Linked DNA regions of Rhinolophus ferrumequinum. The protein of the gene in region 2 purifies or fractionates together with the protein of the main gene of each other region. This does not show direct contact. Links are inferred from orthologs where the notes say so. Each region holds a gene or a part of one and is shown on either strand. Other genes may lie near its edges.

Evidence for each region. Proteins that work in one complex are often made in the same cells at the same time.
Region 1: the proteins of VASP (region 2) and PFN1 purify together in Homo sapiens (affinity purification with western blotting; 3 studies listed by BioGRID and IntAct, with this or other methods). This does not show direct contact. The link is inferred for Rhinolophus ferrumequinum from reciprocal best matches to the Homo sapiens genes VASP and PFN1.

The regions. Positions count from the first base shown.
Region 1 is NC_046304.1:12,644,879-12,654,482, reverse strand, and holds PFN1 (profilin-1), read left to right. Parts: upstream 1-4,681; 5' UTR 4,682-4,863; coding exon 4,864-4,998; intron 4,999-5,866; exon of another isoform or gene 5,867-6,298; coding exon of another isoform or gene 6,299-6,373; intron 6,374-6,443; coding exon 6,444-6,636; intron 6,637-7,259; coding exon 7,260-7,357; 3' UTR 7,358-7,616; downstream 7,617-9,604. Other genes in the region: ENO3 (beta-enolase), read right to left, coding at 1-88, 475-544, 714-772, 942-1,037, 1,303-1,389, 2,608-2,644; E3 ubiquitin-protein ligase RNF167, read right to left, coding at 8,270-8,571, 8,650-8,730, 9,329-9,422, 9,565-9,604. UniProt on the Homo sapiens protein: Binds to actin and affects the structure of the cytoskeleton. At high concentrations, profilin prevents the polymerization of actin, whereas it enhances it at low concentrations. By binding to PIP2, it inhibits the formation of IP3 and DG.
Region 2 is NC_046298.1:41,838,496-41,849,044, reverse strand, and holds the start of VASP (vasodilator-stimulated phosphoprotein), read right to left. Parts: upstream 4,765-10,549; 5' UTR 4,425-4,764; coding exon 4,420-4,424; intron 1-4,419. UniProt on the Homo sapiens protein: Ena/VASP proteins are actin-associated proteins involved in a range of processes dependent on cytoskeleton remodeling and cell polarity such as axon guidance, lamellipodial and filopodial dynamics, platelet activation and cell migration.

The sequences.
Region 1 (9,604 bases), on a different chromosome or scaffold from region 2:
TGTCGGTAGAGCGGGACCCCCTTCTCTGCTGCTCCAGCCTTGCACACAGCCAGGGAAACGCCCAGGATGGCATTGGCCCCAAACTTGGCTGAAGGAGGCAAGCACAAGAAAGGGTGAGAGCTTCTCCCCCAGGGTTTGGGGTCATCTTCTAGAACATCCCCTCTGGTCACCCCAAGAAGAATCCAGAACTCCAAACCACTGGTCATTAAAGTTTAACAGCTCTCTCCCCGGCAGCCTGAGGTGCCTCCACCCCAGGGGAATGTGTCAGCTTCATATGTGTGTCCACAGCCTGGCCCAAGCCTGGCAGAGGGCAGGCATCAGGAAATGCCTGTGGAATGAATAAAAGTCCATCTCGCTATTGTGTGCCCCAAACTGTGGAACACAGAAATAATTCTAACCAGATCTCAGCCTCGTGGTCGCTCCCCCAATCCTTCCACATCCCATCTCTTCCCCTACCTCTAGCCCTTCACTCACATTTATTCTCGGTCCCATCCAGCTCAATCATAAATTTGTCAACTTTTTCTTGATCCACAACGCTTAATTTCTGGAAGGGCAGGTTTGAGGAGGGAGAGCAAAGGTCAGATTTGTCAAGAGTCAGGGCATGTACAGGAGAAAGAAGTACAGGTATTTTGGGGAGAATGACAGTTGCCATATGGGGTGAGGCGACAGGGGTCTGAGGAGGGGATTAAGGGGAGCAGGCTCCTCCCACTTGCCTTTTCCAGCAGAGCAGGGCCTAGAGTCTTATTGATGTGTTCCACAGCCTTCAGGACCCCTAGAGAGATGGGAGGAGGTTCAGATCTCCTATTCAATCAGGTCTCTTCCTGCAGATCCCAGCTCCTCAAAACAGCTTTGGGTTCTAGTCCTCTACTCCACACAGATGTTGTGTGCCCATGTCCTGAAACCACTTCCACAAGGCTCCTCCAGTATTGATCTTTCCTCACCTTTGCCCAGGTAGCGAGATTTGTCTCCATCTCTTAGTTCCAGAGCTTCATAGATACCTGTGGAAGCTCCGCTGGGCACAGCTGCTCGGAATCGGCCTGGGGAAGGATCAATTGGAAGATCACAGAAAGTCCCATCCACCCCCAAAGGGCCAAGGTGTCCTCTCTGAGACCAGGGGCAAAAGGCAGGGCAGATAGACTCCTACTTCTCCCCGCAGGAGAACCAGGTTGGAAGAGGAAGGCCTGGGAAGAACTCTGGGGAAGGGAATCTCAGAGGAAGGTGAGGATATGGAACAGCTGGAGGGCAAAGGCCAGATGGTGTTGGGGTCTTCCAAGGCAAACCAATTTAATGGGCCTGTGTTACCCTTTGCTGTGTACAAGTCCACCTCCACGGTGGGGTTGCCCCTGGAGTCCAGGATTTCCCGGGCAAAGATTTTCTGCATGGCCATGGCTGCAGGACAAGAGGCTTGAGTGAGTGTGGACCGTTGATCCCTTAAGGAACCCGAAATCCCTTGCCCTTTAAGAGCCTTCCCCACCCCAAGAAGGCAGGTGCTGGAGCTAAAAATACCCACAAAAAGGTCACAGATCATAGAGGCTGGCGCAGCCCCTCCTCCACTCAGAAAGCTCTTATTCCACCCCCTACCCCCATCCTAAGAATCCAGGAGTCTCTCCTTTATAACTCCTGGAATTCCACCACCTCCTGAACCCCATCTCCTGCAAAGTTGCATTTATGCCTTCTCCCTCCACCCTTCTAATCAAGCATTCTGTTCTCCGTGGCTTTCTAGCTCTAAAATCCTCTCTCGTTATTCTGTTTCTCATTTTCCTGCTCCTCAGTCTTCTTCAGATACTGGGGCAGGGGGGGTGTGCAAATTCTCCAACTGGCCCCAGCTCTAGCTACCATCTCAATCCATCTCTGCCTGCCTTTCTTCGCATCCTCATTTCCCTATCCTTGGACACCCCCATCCTGTTTGCTCCAAATCAGCGTCTTTCTTAAGCACCCCCAATCCCAGGAGGGGAAAAAAAGCCGACATTTCCCCGTCTTCTCCAAGCCAGCACCACCCTCACTCCCATGCCCTGGGGCTGGAAGATTCACCAGACCTGGGATGTTTTCGCTGGGGGCTTGAGGTGAGCTCCGAGTCTAGGTGGCAGCTGGGACAGTGTCACCTCACCCCCTCTCAGGTTGGGCATTTATCCCCAGCCACGCTGTCCCCCAGCCAGCCCCGCCTCTCTCCCTCTCCATCCTCCCCCTCGACAAGCGGCTGGTAGCCAAGTGCCCACTACAGCCTAAAGCCCCCTTCCCGAAGGTTAACGACTACCCGTCCTTTCTCTCTGTTCCCAATAAAAGTCCCTACTTTTAATTCCACCCCTGGGAAGGAGCAGGGGAGGGGCTTCAAAAGGAGGGGTCTCTCCCCTCCCCAAGATTATATTCCCCTTTTGTAAAGGTTAAAGAGGAACTAGTGCCATTTAGGAAAGGCCAGGGGTAACCTGAGCCCTGCAGGGCTGGGGAGGGGGCCTGGAAGAGGGGCTGCAGGATTGACATCCACACATGCTCAGCTCACTTGGCGGGCAGGGGCTGCCTCTGCCTTCAGTGGGGGAAGGAGCCGGGGTTTATGGGCAAGCTCTGAAGTCTAAAATTGAACCCCCCATTAAAAAGGTGAGAGGGTCTCACCTCTCAGGGTCCTCATAGCGGCCTCTCCCTGCTCCATCCCATCCTACCCAATCTGGGCCAGCAAAGGGGTGGAGGAGGGGGCAGGGAGACGAATTTAGACTGGCGCGGCTCCCTACAGATAGCGCTGGGACAGCACTTATCGCTCAGCGTGTAGACTGCCAGTCAGGAGCCCCTATCCCCACTGACTGCCGGTGCTTCAGGGCGCGGTCCCAGATCACCACCGAATGACGTTGAATCAGCAGCGAACAAAATGAATGGACGAGAGGAGGGGGTGGCCTTGAGTATCTGAACGCCCGGAGCTAGCCCGGCAGTCCGCTAGTAGCATTGCAGGGAAGTGGGTCTCTGAATTCAGTAACTCTCTCCGTGTTGGCAGGTCTGAGGGGAGTGTGGGGTCTGTCCTGAGTTCTGGCTGCAGCCCGGCCAGAAAAGGGAGGCACGCCAAGGCTCGGACCGTTGGGCGGGCAGGCAAGGTTCCGGGGGCGCCTCGGCTCCTCGCCCCCGACTCGGAGGCTCCTCCCGCCGGCGCCAGAGCAGCCTGCGCCGGGTGACTCACCCCCACGGACCTCAACCCAGCTCCCTTCTCCGCCCCGCCTATACTGCCTTACTGCCCCCAGCCCAGAATCCCTCCCCCTATGTCGCCCCTACCCCCTTATCTCGGGCCGCTCCCTCCAGGGATTTTTCCACCCGGGGGTAGGGGGTGCGGCAGGCCAGAGGTCAGGAGGGCGGGCGGGGCGCCGCCACGTGCCCGTATGAGGCCCCGCCCGAGCGGACCAGTGACTCAGCCCCGGCGGCTGTCGAGGAACAAGGGTTTGGGGGGCGTCGGGTGTCCCTGGGGTGCGGAGTATCCGCGAGGGAACCGCGTCCCGCTCGGGAGGATGAGAGAGATAGAAGCCCCTTCCCACCCGGGAGGCGACCCTCCCGGGAGGGACCGGAAGCGGCCCAGCCCCTAGGTGGCCCAGGCAGTCTGAGCGCGGCCAGTTCACCTAAGCCGTCGCCAGGTCTTGCCCCACCTCCCCTCCCAGTTGGTGGGAGACCTAATCGCACTCAAGTTCTTGGCGTTAAGTTTTAATGAAAAAGAAAAAAAATCCAACGGGCCCAAAGTGGAAAGGACTTTCCCCTTCTTGAAAAAGTTGCAAATCTTTAAACTTCTTAGTATTCTTCCGCCGGGAAAAATAGGCCCGCCCGTCTAGCCCCGCGGGTGCCCGCCTCTGCAGAGAGGCGCCAAAGGGCACGACCGGTGACCCAAACTACTAGCCCGGGAACAGGCGGGTCTTGGACCTAGGGGCGAGGCCTGGGGCTGGAGCTGATCCAGCTAGGATAACCCCCTCGAGTGGGGGTGGACTCCACTGAGTCCAATTTGTGCCACCAGGCAGATGCTGGGGACAGAAGTGTCCCCAGTGGATGCCTTCAATTCTGAAACCGGTCGGGATATTTTGTCAAATTCCCCTTTGCTCCCTTGACTAAATAAAATCAAGAGTGGAGAAGCCGCAACGCGCACGCCTCGCTCTCGCCCCCGCCTCTTCCGCCCGGCGCGAGACACGTCCCCGGCCGCCTTCCTTCCCAGGGGTTCCAAATGGGTCCAGCCAGGCGCGCCCCGGCGCGCGCCCGCGAAGCCGGCCGCCGGCCCCAACCGCCCCACGCGCTTTCCCTCCGGGCCCCGGCGCAGGCGCGGGCGCACGCGCCGCCGCCCGCCGTTCCTTCCCTCCGGCGGAGGTGGGGGAAGGGGGAGTCATTCTGTTTAACCCCGAGTTCCCCAAACCCTCTTTAATTTGCTAAATTTGCAGCTTGCTAATTCTTCCTCGTTCCACTTTCTTTTTTCCCTCCATCTTACTCCCTTCCCCTATACCAAAATGTGGTTTATATTCCGTGCGAAGTGGAGCAAACCCTAACCCTAACCTCTCTCCCTGACCCCCCTTCATTCTTTTACATTGCTTTCCATTGAACTCTGCAAATTTTGCAACAGGGGGAGGGATTTTTAAAATTGTATTTGCAAAGTTAGGTATCTGGGCTGGAGGGGGGATAGGGAGGGAATGGGGAGCAGGCCCCGCCCCTACCGCTCTTTGCATAAAAATCTAGAAGGGGGGGAGGAGCAGGAAGTGGCGGTGCGAGGACTGCTGCACAGCTAGCAGAGCCACGGTCCGGACGGCAGCGCGTGCCCCAAGCTCTCCGCCTCCCCCCGTCCGCCAGCCCGAGGCAGCCCGAGCCCAGCCCGCGGCCCCAGCACCAGCGCTTAAGAGCAGCCCCAGTAGCAGCGCCATGGCCGCCGGGTGGACCGCCTACATCGACAGCCTCATGGCGGACGGGACCTGTCAGGACGCGGCCATCGTGGGCTATAAGGACTCGCCCTCCGTCTGGGCCGCCGTCCCCGGGAAAACCTTAGGCAACATCACGGTACTGCGAGGCCTGCGCGGTCCGGGGAACTGGCTGGGTTTGGACCCTGAGGGAGGGACTTGGGTGGGGGCGGGCGCGGTTTGGGGCGTGCAGCGAAAGGCCGTGCTTGACCCCTTCTTGCCCTGGAAGCGGCGCGAATGGCGGCTGCACGTGAGCAGGCTCCTCGGTTGCCCCTAAGTTCTATGCCCCAGGCGGCGGCTCCCATCCCGCCCGCTGCCCCGCTTTCCACGACGGGGCGTTACATCCGGGGCACAGGGTGGGGAGGGGCGCGCCGCCCGGTGCGGCGGCCCACTTCCGCCTTGTCCAGGGCGGGGCGGACACGCGCTGCAATTTCAATCAGGGTTTGTGATTGAGAAGGGAGTTGGGGACCCCTGGACCCCCAGCTCCACTTACTGCCGGCAGTTCGTGCCCCCTTCACCATTGTTCCCCCTTATATGTGAGGGAGTCCCAGTCGCGTGGCCTGGGTCCCATGCCGGTCCTCTGTGGCCTCCCTGCCCCTCCCAACTCCGTTAGAGAGGGAGAGGCCGCCTCACGCCCCCCCCAAGTCGGCACCGTAGACTCAACATTCCTGTGAGACCAATCCCGGAAGTGCCCTCGCCCTCCCTTCCCGCCATCCTGCGGGGCCTGGAGCAAGGGAACTTTGTAAGAAGTTATAGGACAGTGTAAGTGCAGGAATAAGGAATGACTGCTGCTGTCCCCATCACCACCACCCCTGTCCGCACTGCCCGGAAGTGGGGAGGGGGAACGGAAGTTTGAAAGGGGGGGAAGGGGATTTCCGGGCGGGAGGGGACCGGATGTGGGGATTTGGGGTGTACGGGGGAGGAGGAGAAAGCTTCCCTGGGGTATCTAGACCCGAGAGTTGGCTTGCGGGGTCTAGCTCCAGGCCCCCTTCAAAAGTTTTTCAACTTGACCAGAAAGCCCCCAGGGATCTGCTTCCTCTTCTTGGAACATAGATACCTAGACCTAACTCTGAGTTACTTGGAGACCCAGGCGTCCGGGCCCCTAACAACAACTTCAGAACCTTTGACCAAATAAGGGCAAAGTTGCTTCTCCTGCTTTGCCCGCCCCCTCCCTTCCCCTCTTCGCTTCTGCTTTTCCTGAAGGAGACTTTTGAGCATCCAAAGGCTCCCCACTCCATTCCACTCCACTCTCTTCACTAACTTTTGACCCCCTTTATTTCCTGGCTTTGCTTTCCCTCTCAAACGAGATCTAAGTTTCCAGAGCCATTCTGTAGGTTTGAGGATCGTGATCTTTTCTGCACTAACTTCCAACAGTCCTAAGAAGAGCTCATATTTCATGGATGTGTACAAAGCACGTAACATACACATTTTTCCTCTTCAGGGCGGTTCTAGCTCCCCTGAGAAGTGGAATGCAGGTGGGTCCTTGGAGAAGGTGGGAACCTTGGTGTACTGACTAACTTGATGAGTGCTTGGTTCCCCTTCCAGCCAGCTGAGGTTGGTGTCCTGGTTGGCAAAGACCGGGCAAGCTTTTTCGTGAATGGGCTGACACTTGGGGGCCAGAAATGTTCTGTGATCCGGGACTCGCTGCTGCAAGATGGGGAATTTACCATGGATCTTCGTACCAAGAGCACCGGCGGATCCCCCACCTTCAACGTCACTGTCACCATGACTGCCAAGAGTGAGTTTGTGTGTCTTTCCCTTCCTCTAGCTCCAAAATCCCTACTGTACCTCCATCTGTAAGACTTTTGGGTTTTTTCTCTGGTTCCCCAGTACGAAGGGATCATACCAGCTTTCTACTCCCAGCCTGCTGGATGCTGGGATTCTGGATAGTCCCTCCAGTTAGTTCTCAGTTCCTTATCTTGTAATATAAACTGTATTACCTTTTAAGTTCCTTTGTGCCTTGACACTTTTCAGATGAGAAACTTTTGTCGATTGTTGGTTGTCAGCACTTACCTTTCATCTTTGGAGTCCTTGTTAAAACGTGGAGCTGGCCATCTCATCCATAGCCATTAATACTTGGAGGTGGCAGTCTCATTCCTAACCATTCTAGCCTGAATATGAGTCAACCGTCTGAGCCTTTGACCCCTAAATTTTAGTGTGTTCGCTTCACTTGCCTTTAGCTTTGATTTTCCCCTTTTGAAAAGCCCTATTGTTTCAGGGTGACTGACAGCCTGCCTGTGTGTGGGGGTTGGGAGCCAGTGAGGTTGGGTTACAGCCCCTGGGGCTGGACAGCTGCTGAACAGCTGGCAGGGGGTGAAATTGTGACACCTGGGTCCTAGCCTCCTTTCTCTTTTCCTCCAGCGCTAGTCCTGCTGATGGGCAAAGAAGGTGTCCACGGTGGTACAGTCAACAAGAAATGTTATGAAATTGCCTCCCACCTGCGGCGTTCCCAGTACTGACCTCATCTTTCCTTCCCCACCCCACTCCCCACTGCTTTTGCACCCTTCTCCTTCCCATACACACACATACACCATTTTTATTTTTTTGGGCCATTACCCCACACCCCTTATTGCTGCCAAAACCACATGGGCTGGGGGCCAGGGCTGGATGGATAAACACCTCCCCCTACCCATACCCCTCCTGTGTGTGGTTGGAAAACTTTTTTTTTTTTTTGGTTTTGTTTTGTTTTTTTCTGAATAAAAAAGATTCTACTAACAAGGTGCTGTGTGGTTTTAGCCTGGGTGTAAGGGTGGAGGAGTCACTGGGACTTGGCTCCTTTATCCTGGCTTGGGTTTAGGAACGGCAGGGGTTGAAGTGCTACCAAGCCTAGGGATTTGAGCTTGCCTCCATGTCTAGGACTAAGTACCTGCTTCAGGCCTATGTGGCCCAGTTGCCCAGCCTTCCTCAGTGGCATTTCCAGCCCTAGGTCCTCAGTGTGTTATGTGAATTGGTGGATAATGGAATAGAGCCATCCAGACCAGACTGGGTCCAGGCCTCTGGGCAAGGTAGGGCCAGTTGAGTCATCCTGTGGGTGGAGTCACAACTAATGCCTGCTAGGGCTGTCCCCAAGACTATAGGTTAGTCTCCAGCACTCCCCTGCCCCTTTATGGCAAAACGGGGACAATTCCCCAAATAATTAAGATCATCATCACCTATGAGAGAATGAGCTCTACCTTCCTTAGTCCACAAAAAATTTTATTAACCCGGTAAGTGAAGACCCAGTCCCTTTGCACCAACCCCTTCAAAAGGATGGGGTTGGGTAAGGGAGAATCCCAGGGTGAGAATGCCCCCTATCCCTCAACACAGAAGACTAGAGGGAGAAAAAGGAGCTGTGCAAAATAGGTCACCAGAGGTGGGGGGTGATAGGAGTATTAGACCAGGATGGCATCTGAGGAGGAAGGAGAGGGTGGGGGATCTGTTGAAGACTCAGGAAAAAGAAGGGGGGCTGGGGCTAGGGAGCCAAAAGAGGTGGGAATTGTGGGGCTGGACCCCAGAAGTGGGGTCCGCTCTGAAGCAGGATGGTCCCTTGCTTGCCCTTCCTCATCACCATCTTGCCCCTGAGCTTCTTCCTCCTGGTCCTCATCCCCAGGACCTCGATGGACAGGTTGCTTGCAGATAGGGCAGGTCTTCCGGGTCTGAGTGAGCCAGGGATCCACACAGCGGCTGTGGTAGGCTGTCAAAAAGAATAAGGTGAGGCATCTGGTGCCTGCTGGTGGAGTGGGGACATGGGCACAGGAAGCAAGGGCCTCACCATGAGCACAGGGGAGTACCCTCAGCTTGTCCCCATCCTCATACTCATCCAGGCAGATGGCACAGACATCGTATTGGTCTCCTGAGGGAGGAAAAAGGAGTCCTTTTACTGAGCACCCTGGACCAGGACCCACAAGAACTATGGGAGGCCCATGGTGGAGCTAAGCCTTGCAAAACTTATTTTCCCTGGTTCTACAGAGCCAGTGGAAAAGCTAAGACGGCCTGGCAGGGTAGAACACGAGAAATTTGGTTGGTATTAGAAGGGACGAGCAAAGCAGCAGAGGTAAGAGGGAAGTGGGTTTTTTGGGGGAGGAAATAGGGAGTGGGAGGAGCGGAAATGGGGCAGGGCTCCTGCTATTGCCTTATATGGGCACTGGAGGCTCTAGGGCCTAGGCCAGAAGACGAGCCCCTCCTCACCTGTCTTCCTTCTCAGACTGAATCCTCCCCACTCCTTCCATTTTTCTATTCTCTCCACCTTCTCCCCTGTAAGCAAGGCTGATCCTCCCATCTTTTCCCCTAACTACTCCATTTAATCATCTTTGTTTTCCATCTTATGCTCTGTTCCTGTCCTATCCTCGTATGTATGGGTAAAAAGGGGAAAGGTGGCATCTCCTGGGTTTAAACTCCTTCAGAACCAGGTAAGCTACGGGAAAGGCCTTCCACTCCCCTATCCCTCTCACCCTTCTGATAGTCATGTGTAGGAATCTGTTTCAGTTGTTCTTTGGTCAGTCGATTCTGCTGGAGCCGTTTTCGATGCTGGATACAACGGACTATCTGGGGAAAGCGGAGTGGACGGATCAGACTTAGGGAACAAAACTGGACCACCTAGTACAAACGATCCCCCATCTCTCCACCCCAGATCCAGTCTGGCTTTAAAGGCCTCAGCTCTTCCCATCATGTTCTCTGAGCTACTCACCATCACTGCTCCCATGGCCAAAACCAGCAGTCCCACAATC
Region 2 (10,549 bases):
CTTAGTGACCCCAGGCTGGTCCTACCCCTCCCCAGGCCGTAGTGTCCGTCCCCATGACAGCAAGAGGACCCTGTGAAAACACCAGTCAGATCAAGTCCCTCCTCTTCTCGGAAGCTCCCCTGGCTCCCCTCGATCTGTGGCTTTCTGCTGTGTGATCTCGATCTCATTCCTTCCCTCCCCGCAGTTCGCTGTTCCAGCCCCTCCGGCCTCCACGCTGCTCCTTCCACAAGCCAGGCCATTCCTGCCTGGGGCCTATGCACTTGTCCTTCCTTGGCCTGGAGCCTCACCTTCCTCAGGGTGGTCAGGGGAAGAGGTGCCGTCTAAGCGGAGACCCATCTGTAAAGTTCCTCTCCCTCTCTTCGAATGTCCCACATGTCATAGCAGCTGTCCCTGCCTGACCGATTCCTGTCTCCCCTACCAAAATATCAGGACCATGAGGGCAGGGATTTTTGTCCTTATTGTTCACTGCTGTTTCCTCAGAACCCAGAATTCTACCCAGCCCACAGCAGGTATTCAACAGTTGTTAAATCAGCCATGTTTAAAAAAAAGGAAAACTCAGCTGATAGTAACGGATTGGTGTGCATCCCAGACACTGTTCTAGGTACTCAGCTCCCGTTTCCACAGAGAACCTTGCAATGATGTCAAGAGAGATGAAGACACTTGTCCCAGGTCACACAGCAAGTAAGCAGAGGGGCTCCCATTTGAACCCAAGTCCGCCCAAGTTCTTAACCTCATTTAAAGATGAGGGAACAGCTAAGCTGAAATTTGAAAAGCCAAGGCCTAAAATGGTATCAGAGGTTTTAAAAAAAAGGTGGGGAGGATATAACTACATCCGCACGGCAGTGGTGATATATGCAGAGGCTGCTTCTCAGAAGACTAACCGTGGCTGGTGAGGGGGTACTGGGGACCCGAGGAAGGAGGAAATGGACACATCTCACGGTTTACTCTTTAGAACTGCTTGATTCTTTCTTTTTTTTTCAGCATGGGCTGGTATTACCTATAAAAAACTCATTCATCACTTAAGTTCAAAAAACAAAACTATAAACCAGGCAAAAGCTGCAACGGAAAATCCCACAGCCAGGAACCTGGGGACTAAGGTTCAAACAGGGTCTGCTTGATTCCAGGGGTGTCCTGGGGTCTCACACACTTGATTTGACATGAGAGAACCTTAATCCCCAGCCAGCCTAGCACCCATCCCTCCCCACAAGTCCCCATATTCTGGAAAACTCTACCATGAGGTGGATGAGAGAGCATTCAAGTCACTCCCTTGCTGTGTGGCTTTACCTCTATGGTTTCCAGCCCTGGAAACCATAACTCACTGGGTTTGTTGTAAGGATTCAAAGAGATAAGAAAAGCCCTAAAGCTCAGGACTTGGAATTTAGCACAGGGTCCATACAAGGAAGCTGTGAGTCAAAACAGGAGGGAGAAAGCTTTCCATCACTGGAGGCAATCAAGCATAGTCACTCCGGTTCAAACCTTTCAGATTAGAGGCTTGCCCTTCCCTTCACCCCTCACTCCTACCCCAAGACTTAACCTAGAGCTTCCTTAAATCATAAAACTTGTGACCCACACTCACCCCCACGCAACGTTTCCAAACTATAAATCTTTGCAACAACCCTGCATAGGAAACCAGATCTAGGGTCTGTGGGGCTTGTTTGGCTCACTCTAGTCCCTCCTCCCTGACCAAACTCAGTTTCCCAAAAGTAAACAGGAAGGTAAAGGTTTCCACCTGGGTTTTTGTGTATCTCCATTATCTTAACTATTCGTACAATGAAAGCATGTATTTTACTTGTAAAGCTCATTAAAGGTTTTATTTTTATTTTTCTTTAACAGCATAATAGTCTGGAGACAGTCCTAGATTCGAATTCAGCCTTGCCCACTTCCAAACTCTTTCGGCTTTAATAGGCAATTTGCTTAATTTGTCTGTGCCTTGGTTTTTCCATCTGTAAACTGGCAGGCGGTGGGGCGCCATCATAATAGTCAATCTCTTAGAACTGCTGAATTGCTGTGAGGATTAAACTGAATCAGGCACCTACTACAACGCCTGGCACAAAGTAGATGCCTGATTAAATTGTCTCTTATTATTTTTAAAGTAAAAATAATAATTACTATTACTGGAAGAAGAAAGAAACGGACCCAAATTCTTCAGAATCCCTTCTGCCCTGAGATTCTCAGACCTCTGCCCAGCTTCCCGGCCTTCCCAGAATCCCAGCTCAGAGTCCCGGACACAGCAGACACTCAACAAATATTTGTCAAACTAGGAGAAAAAGAACTATTATCTTGTAATTTTCCATCTTAACGTGTTCTCTTCCAACTGCCCCCAAGGCTGTCCTCAGCTAAACCAGCCAGAAATCAGAGAATCCCAGTCCCCTCCCCTCCCTCAATATTGCCTAGGAATTTCTGAGGGATCTTGTGCCAATTCTTTCTCTTTGAGCCTCAGTTTCCCTAGCTGCATACAGGGGCTTGCGTCAATTTGAATCCTAGCTGTCTTTGGAGAAGGGGCACAAGCCCAGGAAGTCGGCTGTGACCACTGGCAGGGAAGACCCCTCAGAAGGTGGGAGTAACCCTCTTGTGGGACAGGGAACAGTGCAACTTCTGCCCACCCCCCAGGAAGTGGGAGGTTTGGCCACGGCCTTTAGTAGGGGGCCTGTGGGAGGGCCGGGGCCTCCGGGACTGGGCTAAGGGGGGGGCGGGAGGCCGGCCCAGACACTGCTCCTGCCCTTTTACGGTCTCAGTGAGTGAGGCAGCACTAACTCGGACATCCGCCATCCGCCTTCCACCGTCCCTGGGACCGGAAACGCGGGGGGGTGGGGGCGAGGGGCGAGGCTGGGGGCTGTGGGTTGTGGGAGAAGAGAGTCCCCCCCCACCTCCGGGAAGAGGGTGAAGAGAGCCTGGCTCCTGAAAACTGCCCCCTGTCCAGACAGACCTTGAAGGGAATGTTGCTATAATGGGAGAAAGGGTAGGCAGGAAGTCTTGAGGGTGTCTCTAGGTGCCCCCTTGCTCTAAATTTTCCAACCATTCCTTCGCATCAGAAGAAACAAATACGGGAGGGGGATTCTCTAATGGTCATAAAAAGGAATGCCACCCTGATGTCAGAGGGCAGAGGTATGGGGAACGTGGGGGAAGTGGGAGGATGTAGGCACCAGGGGGTTAATCCCCAGCCGTCCCCAGAGGCCGCCTCCACAAGCTGGGGGCTTTGGGGCAGGAAGTCCCTGAGAGAGTAAAGGAAGGGAGATAGTATTGTCAGGCTCTGGCCCCAAGGGAGAGATTATGGGGGGTCAAGGGGAGGAGAGAATGGGGGGATCCAGTCGAGTTTCCCAGCCCGCACTGGCCCCGCCCTCAGGTGCGCCCAGGAGTTTTGAGGCAGGCCTGGGTAAGACAAAATCCTTAGGTACCTTGGGTCCCCCCCCCGCCAGGATTAAATTCCTGGGAAGATAGCTGAAACTATCTGGGAAGCCTGGGTCCTGGGAAGAGAGGACTATGACCTTGAAGCTTTCCAGCGCCCCCTCCTCCAACCCCAGAGCTCCGATGGCTGGAGAGTTGGGGTAGCGAGAAGGGAGAGGCGCCGTGGTGGGGAAAGCAGCCAGCCCACAGCGCTCCTGGCCCGCCCCCCACACACCAGCTGTCTCGACAGGTGAGTCAGTAAGACAAAGGCCCCCCTTTCCACAGCTGCCGCACCCCCTCCCTCCCAGGGCCGCGCAGGTGGGGTAGAGGGGCCGCCCTTCTCTGGCCCAGAGCCGGGGAGCCGCCCTCCGCATAGAGCACTCCCTCGGTCCTAGGCACGGCCTGTTTTAAACAGATTGGGAGTGCGGAGCGGCGGGGGAGGGGTGTCCCAACCAGACCCTGTAGGCTACGTCTGTCTCCGTCCGCAACCACCTCTTCCATTGGATAAGAGCCCCTCCAAATTTAGGGGGTTAAGTACCCTCGAAGTTAAGGAGCGAGGTCCCACATGGTACGACTTTCCAGCGTCACGTAAAGAGGAACCCTGCAAACCAATGTCTACGTCTCAATCTCTCAGGTGCCAGGGACCCTCTGACTGGCCCCCCACAATCCCTCTCTGAGTCCGAGTTTAGATTTGGGGGGAGTCTGAGCCCTGACTAAATCCTGACCTCCTTACAGGGAGTATCTGCCAACTTGGAGGTCTTTTGAAGAAGTCTTTTAAGAAATTTGGGAGTCCTCCGAGCGCCCCAAATCTGAGGGCTCCCTGGAGAGCTTCACCGGTACCACCTCGAGCCTTGGGAGTCATGGGAAAATGGTCAATATTTGGAGCTCATCCAAGCAGGTTCGGCCTCAAAGCCGAGGCTCCGAGTGGCCGGTCCCCAAATTTCAGCCAGGAGCGAGCTGGGGGGAGGGGGGACAAAGGCGGGGCGGGGAGCCCGCCCCGGGTGGAGAAGGGTCTGTAGGAAGTTGGGGGCTCACCTCATGGCTGCTCGGCAGGCAGGCAGCGCACCCACAGGGTGGGTGCTGCCGGGGAGCCCCTGGCTCGAGGTTCAGAGGTCCGGGGTTGGATCCAGGTTCTGCTCAGTCTCCCCCAGGGTCCCGCCCCATAGAGTCCGGCTTCCTGAGGGGAACGTGGACGCGGCCCGGGCGGGTCTTCGGGCGCCTCCTCCCTGTGGGGGTTTGATCGGGGGTCCCTGCGGCGGAAAGGGCGTGCGGCGTCCCCTCCCCGGCGCGCCCCCTCGGCCAGCGGCAGCTACAATGTTACTCTTACTACTGTACTTCTCTTCGCTACATTTCGTTCCAAAATTCCACTCCCCACACCCACAATGCCCTGCGCCTTAAAGGGGCCGCGTACAACTCAAGGTGGAAAGGAGGGGTGGAGGGCGCTTAAAAGGGCAACGCGGAACCCTAGACCCGCTATTTCCCTCTCCCTCATCGTTATTGCAGGGATGCAAGCTGGGGTCACCCCCAAATTAGGGAGCAAGCTTGGTGGACGGGAAGGGATCCTTCCTTGATCCCTAGTTCTCTCCCACGATGGGAGTTCTCAGGGGGATCTCAATGGGGGCAGTTTCTTTTCACCTTCCCTATCGACCTCTCCATTTCTTTACATTCTGCTCAATTAGGGGGTTGGGGGGCGAGGAGGACCCTCTGGTTTAGCATAGGTTCTTTCAAATTTCCTCCCTTATATCCTCTCTTCGGACTCCCCCAATGTCTCTCTTGGCCAATTTATAAAAGGTTACTAAGAGTGAACCGTCTCCCCCTCCACGGGAGGGGGATGGGTGGTGAGGGCCCCACCCCCTTCACTGCCCCCCGCCCAGCCGGGGAAGGTGAGGAGGAAGTGGGCCGAGGGGGCGCGGCCGGCCGCTGACTCAGAGCCGCAGGGGGGTGGGGGTTGGACTCCGGGATAAAACCCTTGGCCCCTTCCCCACGCACGCCCCGCTGTGACTCAGTTTCGCCCGCGGAGGATGGCGGGATCATCCCACAACTGGAGGGCACCGAAGCAGGGAGATCCTCCCTAGTGGTGGCTCCCGCGAGCCCCTTCCCCCACAGGCCAGCTTCAAGCTGAGACCGCACACCCTCCAAGGCTTCCGCAGTGGTTACCGCAGGCTCCGCCCCACGTGACGTCACTTCTGTGATTCCCGCCTCTCCCCTCTCCCATAGAGCGCCACCTGTCCTAGGTAAGGTGCCCCCTAGCCAGGGGCCGGAGCCTGGGAAATCATGTTTGACGTTTCCAAATGTGTAAACTGAGGCCTGGAGACAGGGACTATATCTCGGCTATAAGCCCTCTTGCCTGAACCCCAGAACTCCAGTGGTACTTGGGTGCAAGGTATGAGGGTAAAACCAACAATTCTTAAGGCCCAGTTGACTAGGTGAGGGAGTCAACCTTCCCAGCCTTTGTCCAAGAAGAATCCTCTGCCTGGATGCTGTCCTGACCTCATCTCATACTTCTAGGACATGTTCTAACATTAATTCTTCTCTGCAGAATTGAGTAATCCTTTCCCCTACTCTACCCCACCCTGGGTGACCTTGAACCCTGATCCACCTGGGTTATAATTGTTTCTCTGTGTGTCTTCTCAGGCTGTGAGTTCTTTGGGGGCACAGGTAGACTTCATCGATTTCTGTGTTTCACTAAGCCAGCCAGGCCCAGAACAACAGTGCAATACACATTTATGCAACTGAATGAGAACCCCAGTTTCTGTGTGACCTTGGGCAAATCCTTTCTTCTCTCTGGGTCTCAGCTTTCCCATCTGGGAAATGGGAGATGTGGTGTCTCTGTGTGCCACCTGCACTGCAGTCAGCAAACTTTTTCTACAAAGGTCCAAATAGGAAATATCTTAGGCATATTAGGTATAGGGTCTCTTTTACACATTCTTTTTTTTACAACTCCTACAAAATGTAAAAACCATTCTTAGCTCAAGTGCTATGCAGAACAGCAAGATCCCTGCATTAGAGAAACCCTTGCATATATACACAAGGAGCCTGTCCGAGGATCTCTATGTCAGCAATTATGTGAGGGCAAGAAACTGAAAATAGCCTGTCCATCAAGAAGAGGATGGATAGCAAAACCATTGCACATCTTCTTGTCTGAAGCACGGGGCAGCAGCTAAAAAGAATGAGGTGTGTAAGTGGCATGAAAGAAGTCCCCAACATATTACTGAGTGAAAAAAATTGCCAAATGAGGGCGGCCGGTTAGCTCAGTTGGTTAGAGCGCGGTGCTTTTAACAAGGTTGCCGGTTGGATCCCCACATGGGCCACTGTGAGCTGTGCCCTCCACAACTAGATTGAAACAACTACTTGACTTGGAACTCGTGGGTCCTGGAAAAACGCACTTAAACAAACAAAAGTTTAAAAAAAATTTGCCAATGGCAGCCGGATGGCTCAGTTGGTTGGAGCGCGAGCTCTAAACAACAAGGTTGTTGGTTCAATTCCCCCATGGGATGCTGGGCTGCACCCCCTGCAACTAAAGATTGAAAACTGCGACTGGACTTGGAGCTGAGCTGCGCCCTCCACAACTAGATTGAAGGACAATGACTTGGAGCTGATGGGCCCTGGAGAAACACACTATTCTGCAATATTCCCCAATACATTTTTTTTTTTAAGAATTGCCAAATGATAGAGTATGAAAAAACAATCAAGGAAACAACTTGGGTGTACATGCAGAGTAAAAGTTCTGGAAAAATCCACTCCAAACTCATTGTAGTGGTTACCAATAGGATAGGGAATGGTATTGTGGGGAATTCGATGGTCATACAGCTCTTAAGCCTCATCTTGAAAATGCCAAGCTCAATTCTGCTTCTAGGCTATTGCACTGGCTGTTCCTTCTGTCTTGAGACACTCTTCTCAGGGCTATTTGCATGGCTGGCTGCTTCTCGGGGAAGCAATTGAGTCAGGTCCCCGCTCAATTGTCCCCTCCTCAGAGATCTTCCCTGATGCCCCTGTCTAAAGCATCCATCCCCCGGTGGAAAATTGAGTGGCTGAGGGACAGGGGATGGAGAAAGACCTCATTGTACACCATTTTGTACCCTTTGAATTTTGAACCAACTGAACTTATTACCACTCAAAAGATAAATGAATAACAATTTAAAAAACCAAAATAGATTTACTTATCGCATCCCATTTTATTCTCTTTGAGACACTTGTCAGTGTCTGAGATGACCTTATTCATCGGTTCTCTTGTTTGCTCTTTCCCCACACACATACTAGGTGGGCCCCTACAATAGGCACGAATCTCAGTGAGTCTCCCTGGTCGATGGCCACGAACAGTGCCCAATACATATTTGCAAATGACTGGGTAAATAATGTTTGCGGGGTTTTTTTCCTACAAGAAAAATGTATTTTGAGTCACGTAATTAACATTTAATAAAAATTCTCTCCTACCTCTCCCAAAACAGATGAAAAATGGAAAGAGAAGGTTATTGAATTGGTTGAACTCTCTTGGGTCCATGGTTTGGGGTTTCCTCCTCCTCTCCCCTCCCCCGGATGGTGGGAGGAACTTCTCCTCCTAAGACTTTCTGTGACAGGGAAGTAGGAGAAGGGGAAATAAGCATTCCGGGGTCCCTCCATCGGCTCATCTTCCTCTGGTCTATAGCTGGGGAAGGGGAGTTTTCTTAGTTCCGTTGGGGCCCCAGCTGGGCAAAGGGTCCCCAAAAGACAACAGCTGTCAGGCCTCCAAGTCCAAGGCAGAGCTTGAATGATGCCAGTGGCCTTCCCAGTCCCGTTCTGCCCCTTCTGTAACAGAAAATGTAAGAGACAGTGCATTTCTTTTCCTCTCAGTATCTACTCCCCTATATTCTGGAAGCATCACTCCTATTTTTCTTTGAGGGACCACGATTCCCCATCTCTAAAACCATCAAGTTTGGATGCAGTGAATCCCAACCATAAGCACTAAGAATGGACATATGACCCTAGCCTGGCCAATCAGAGACAACAGTGATTTGAGCAGACATGTGACCCAGTGCTACCAAGGAGAACCAGCTCTGAAACTACTGCTGCAACTACTGGGGAACTGGTACATTCTCTCCATTGAGGATGTTAGGCTTGGAGGATGTGAGGCTGGAGCTGCAACTCGCTGCTACCTCATGAAGAGACCCTGCCTGGGAACGAAGCCAACTCAGAGGAAATAAAACTACATCTGACAACTGGATGTAGTCATGCCTTAAGTCCCTGAACTCTTCAATTAACATGGCCCAGTAAATTGTTTTGTTTTTCTAGGTTGAACTGGGTTTCCTTCCCTCACAAATACCTCCTTCTGCTGCTGAGAACTATCAACAATAGCCCTCCTTCAAGTGCGAATAACCACTCTCTTCTCTGCTATGCAAAGGCCTTTGGGTTCTGGCCCCAGCTTTCTCCCTCCCATTTCCCCCGAGTCCCACCTTACACACCTTCCTTATACCTCACCCACCACATCTTTGGACATCTCCAAATGCCCCAAACTATCTGGGTCCAATTCACAATCTCTCTCCAAGATCCAGACCATCCTCAGAGATTACCTAGTGTCTGCAGTGTATCCAGGCCTGGGGACTGGTTAGCAACATTCCTTGAATTTTTCTGCCTTATTCCTGGATGGAGGGGGTGGTGCTTGGAATGATGGGGCTTTACAGAGCATTGCTGGGGGCACATTTCTTGAAGGGGAAGCACAGTCTGCTTCTCCTTCCCCACCAACAGTGCTTCAGGCCAGGAGTGAGAATTTATTTTAATATACTAGCCAAGTCCCTTGTTCCCTCTGGCCTTAATTTCCCCATCACTAAAGAAGGTAAGGTGTGCTGTATTACATGTTTCTAAGAGAAAATTCAAGAACACAGGGTCCTTACCTCCCAGTGCTCCCCTGAGGCCTGGCAGAGCTGAGAATAACCTTCAGCGATGACAGAGGCCCTGGAGAGCAGAGGAAGACCCTCAGGAGGGGACCCTCCTCCTGCCACCCCTCTCCCCATTCTACCCCATCCTACCCTGACTCACTTGCAGTACAGCCCTCCCCCAGAAGGTAAATCCGGGATGTCCTCTGAGGCCAGCCAGAGTCTCGAAAACCGGGTTCAATCTGGGAGGCTCCTAGGCAGAGGAACACAGTTCTGAGAAGGAGGCAAGAGTTACTCGGGTGCCCTGCTTGTCGACTACCCTTCCCGCTGAGCTCCTAAACCTTGCCCACCGGGCGACCCTGCAGCCCAGAGCTGCGTCCAGTGCTTGCTCCTTCCAGATTGTCTCCTCACAAGGCCTTGGGGCCCCCGGGAAGCAGACCAGGACGCAGGTCATGTTGTCCAGGCTGCCCTAGAGAAGGTGGAGAAAGGAGAGCCTGGTTGAATGCCCCAGCACAAGGCTCCATGCCCTTGGAAGCTGAGCTCCCCAACAATCCCGGTGTTCTTTTGCTCCCTTCCCTAATTGGGTTTTGTCCATTTCTCTCAAGTCCTGCCCATCTGCCAGTCTAAACCAATCCCTCTCACTAGGACCAATACCTTAGATGACGCCCCTTCACTGTTCTCACCCTGCTCTATCAGAGAATCACGCCCCTTCTCCAAAGCCCCTCCCACTCTGCTATTTAGCTGCTCCTGCTTCTGGTACTAATTATACCTCAGGACCCACTCCTGTGTCCCAGAGCCGACCCATGCCCTTTCTCTTAAATCCCTCCCACTTAACTAACACCTCACTTTGCCATCTTGCCCCAAGGCCTCCATCAGGCTCCACCCTCTCCATATTTTGTCCCCTCCCCATTTCATCAGGCCACGCCCTTTTCGTGGAGCCCCAACCTCTCCTTTATTTTTACTCTAGCCTTTCATTAAAATTCCTCTCTCCTAAATCCCTTAAGTTCGTCCCCTCAGTGGTCCCAAGCCCTGCCCCCAGGACCTTGCACAGAACGTGCCCAACAGCTGAGCGCAGAGAAGCTCTGGGGCAAGGCCCAAGCAGAGGCGTGATGCCACCAGTCCCACCAGGTCCACTCCAGACATCGCGTCCCACACGCCATCCTCGGCCCGCCGTTCCAGGACGGTCACCTCAGGCTCCGCGGAAACGAGCTGCAGCTCAGCGGGCCTTTCAGGAGCCTTTTTGTAGGCAGTCTCCCAGTGCTCTCAACACTGCCAGAGAGCACTCGAGGCGCCGGCGGCAGATGGTGCCACCCAAG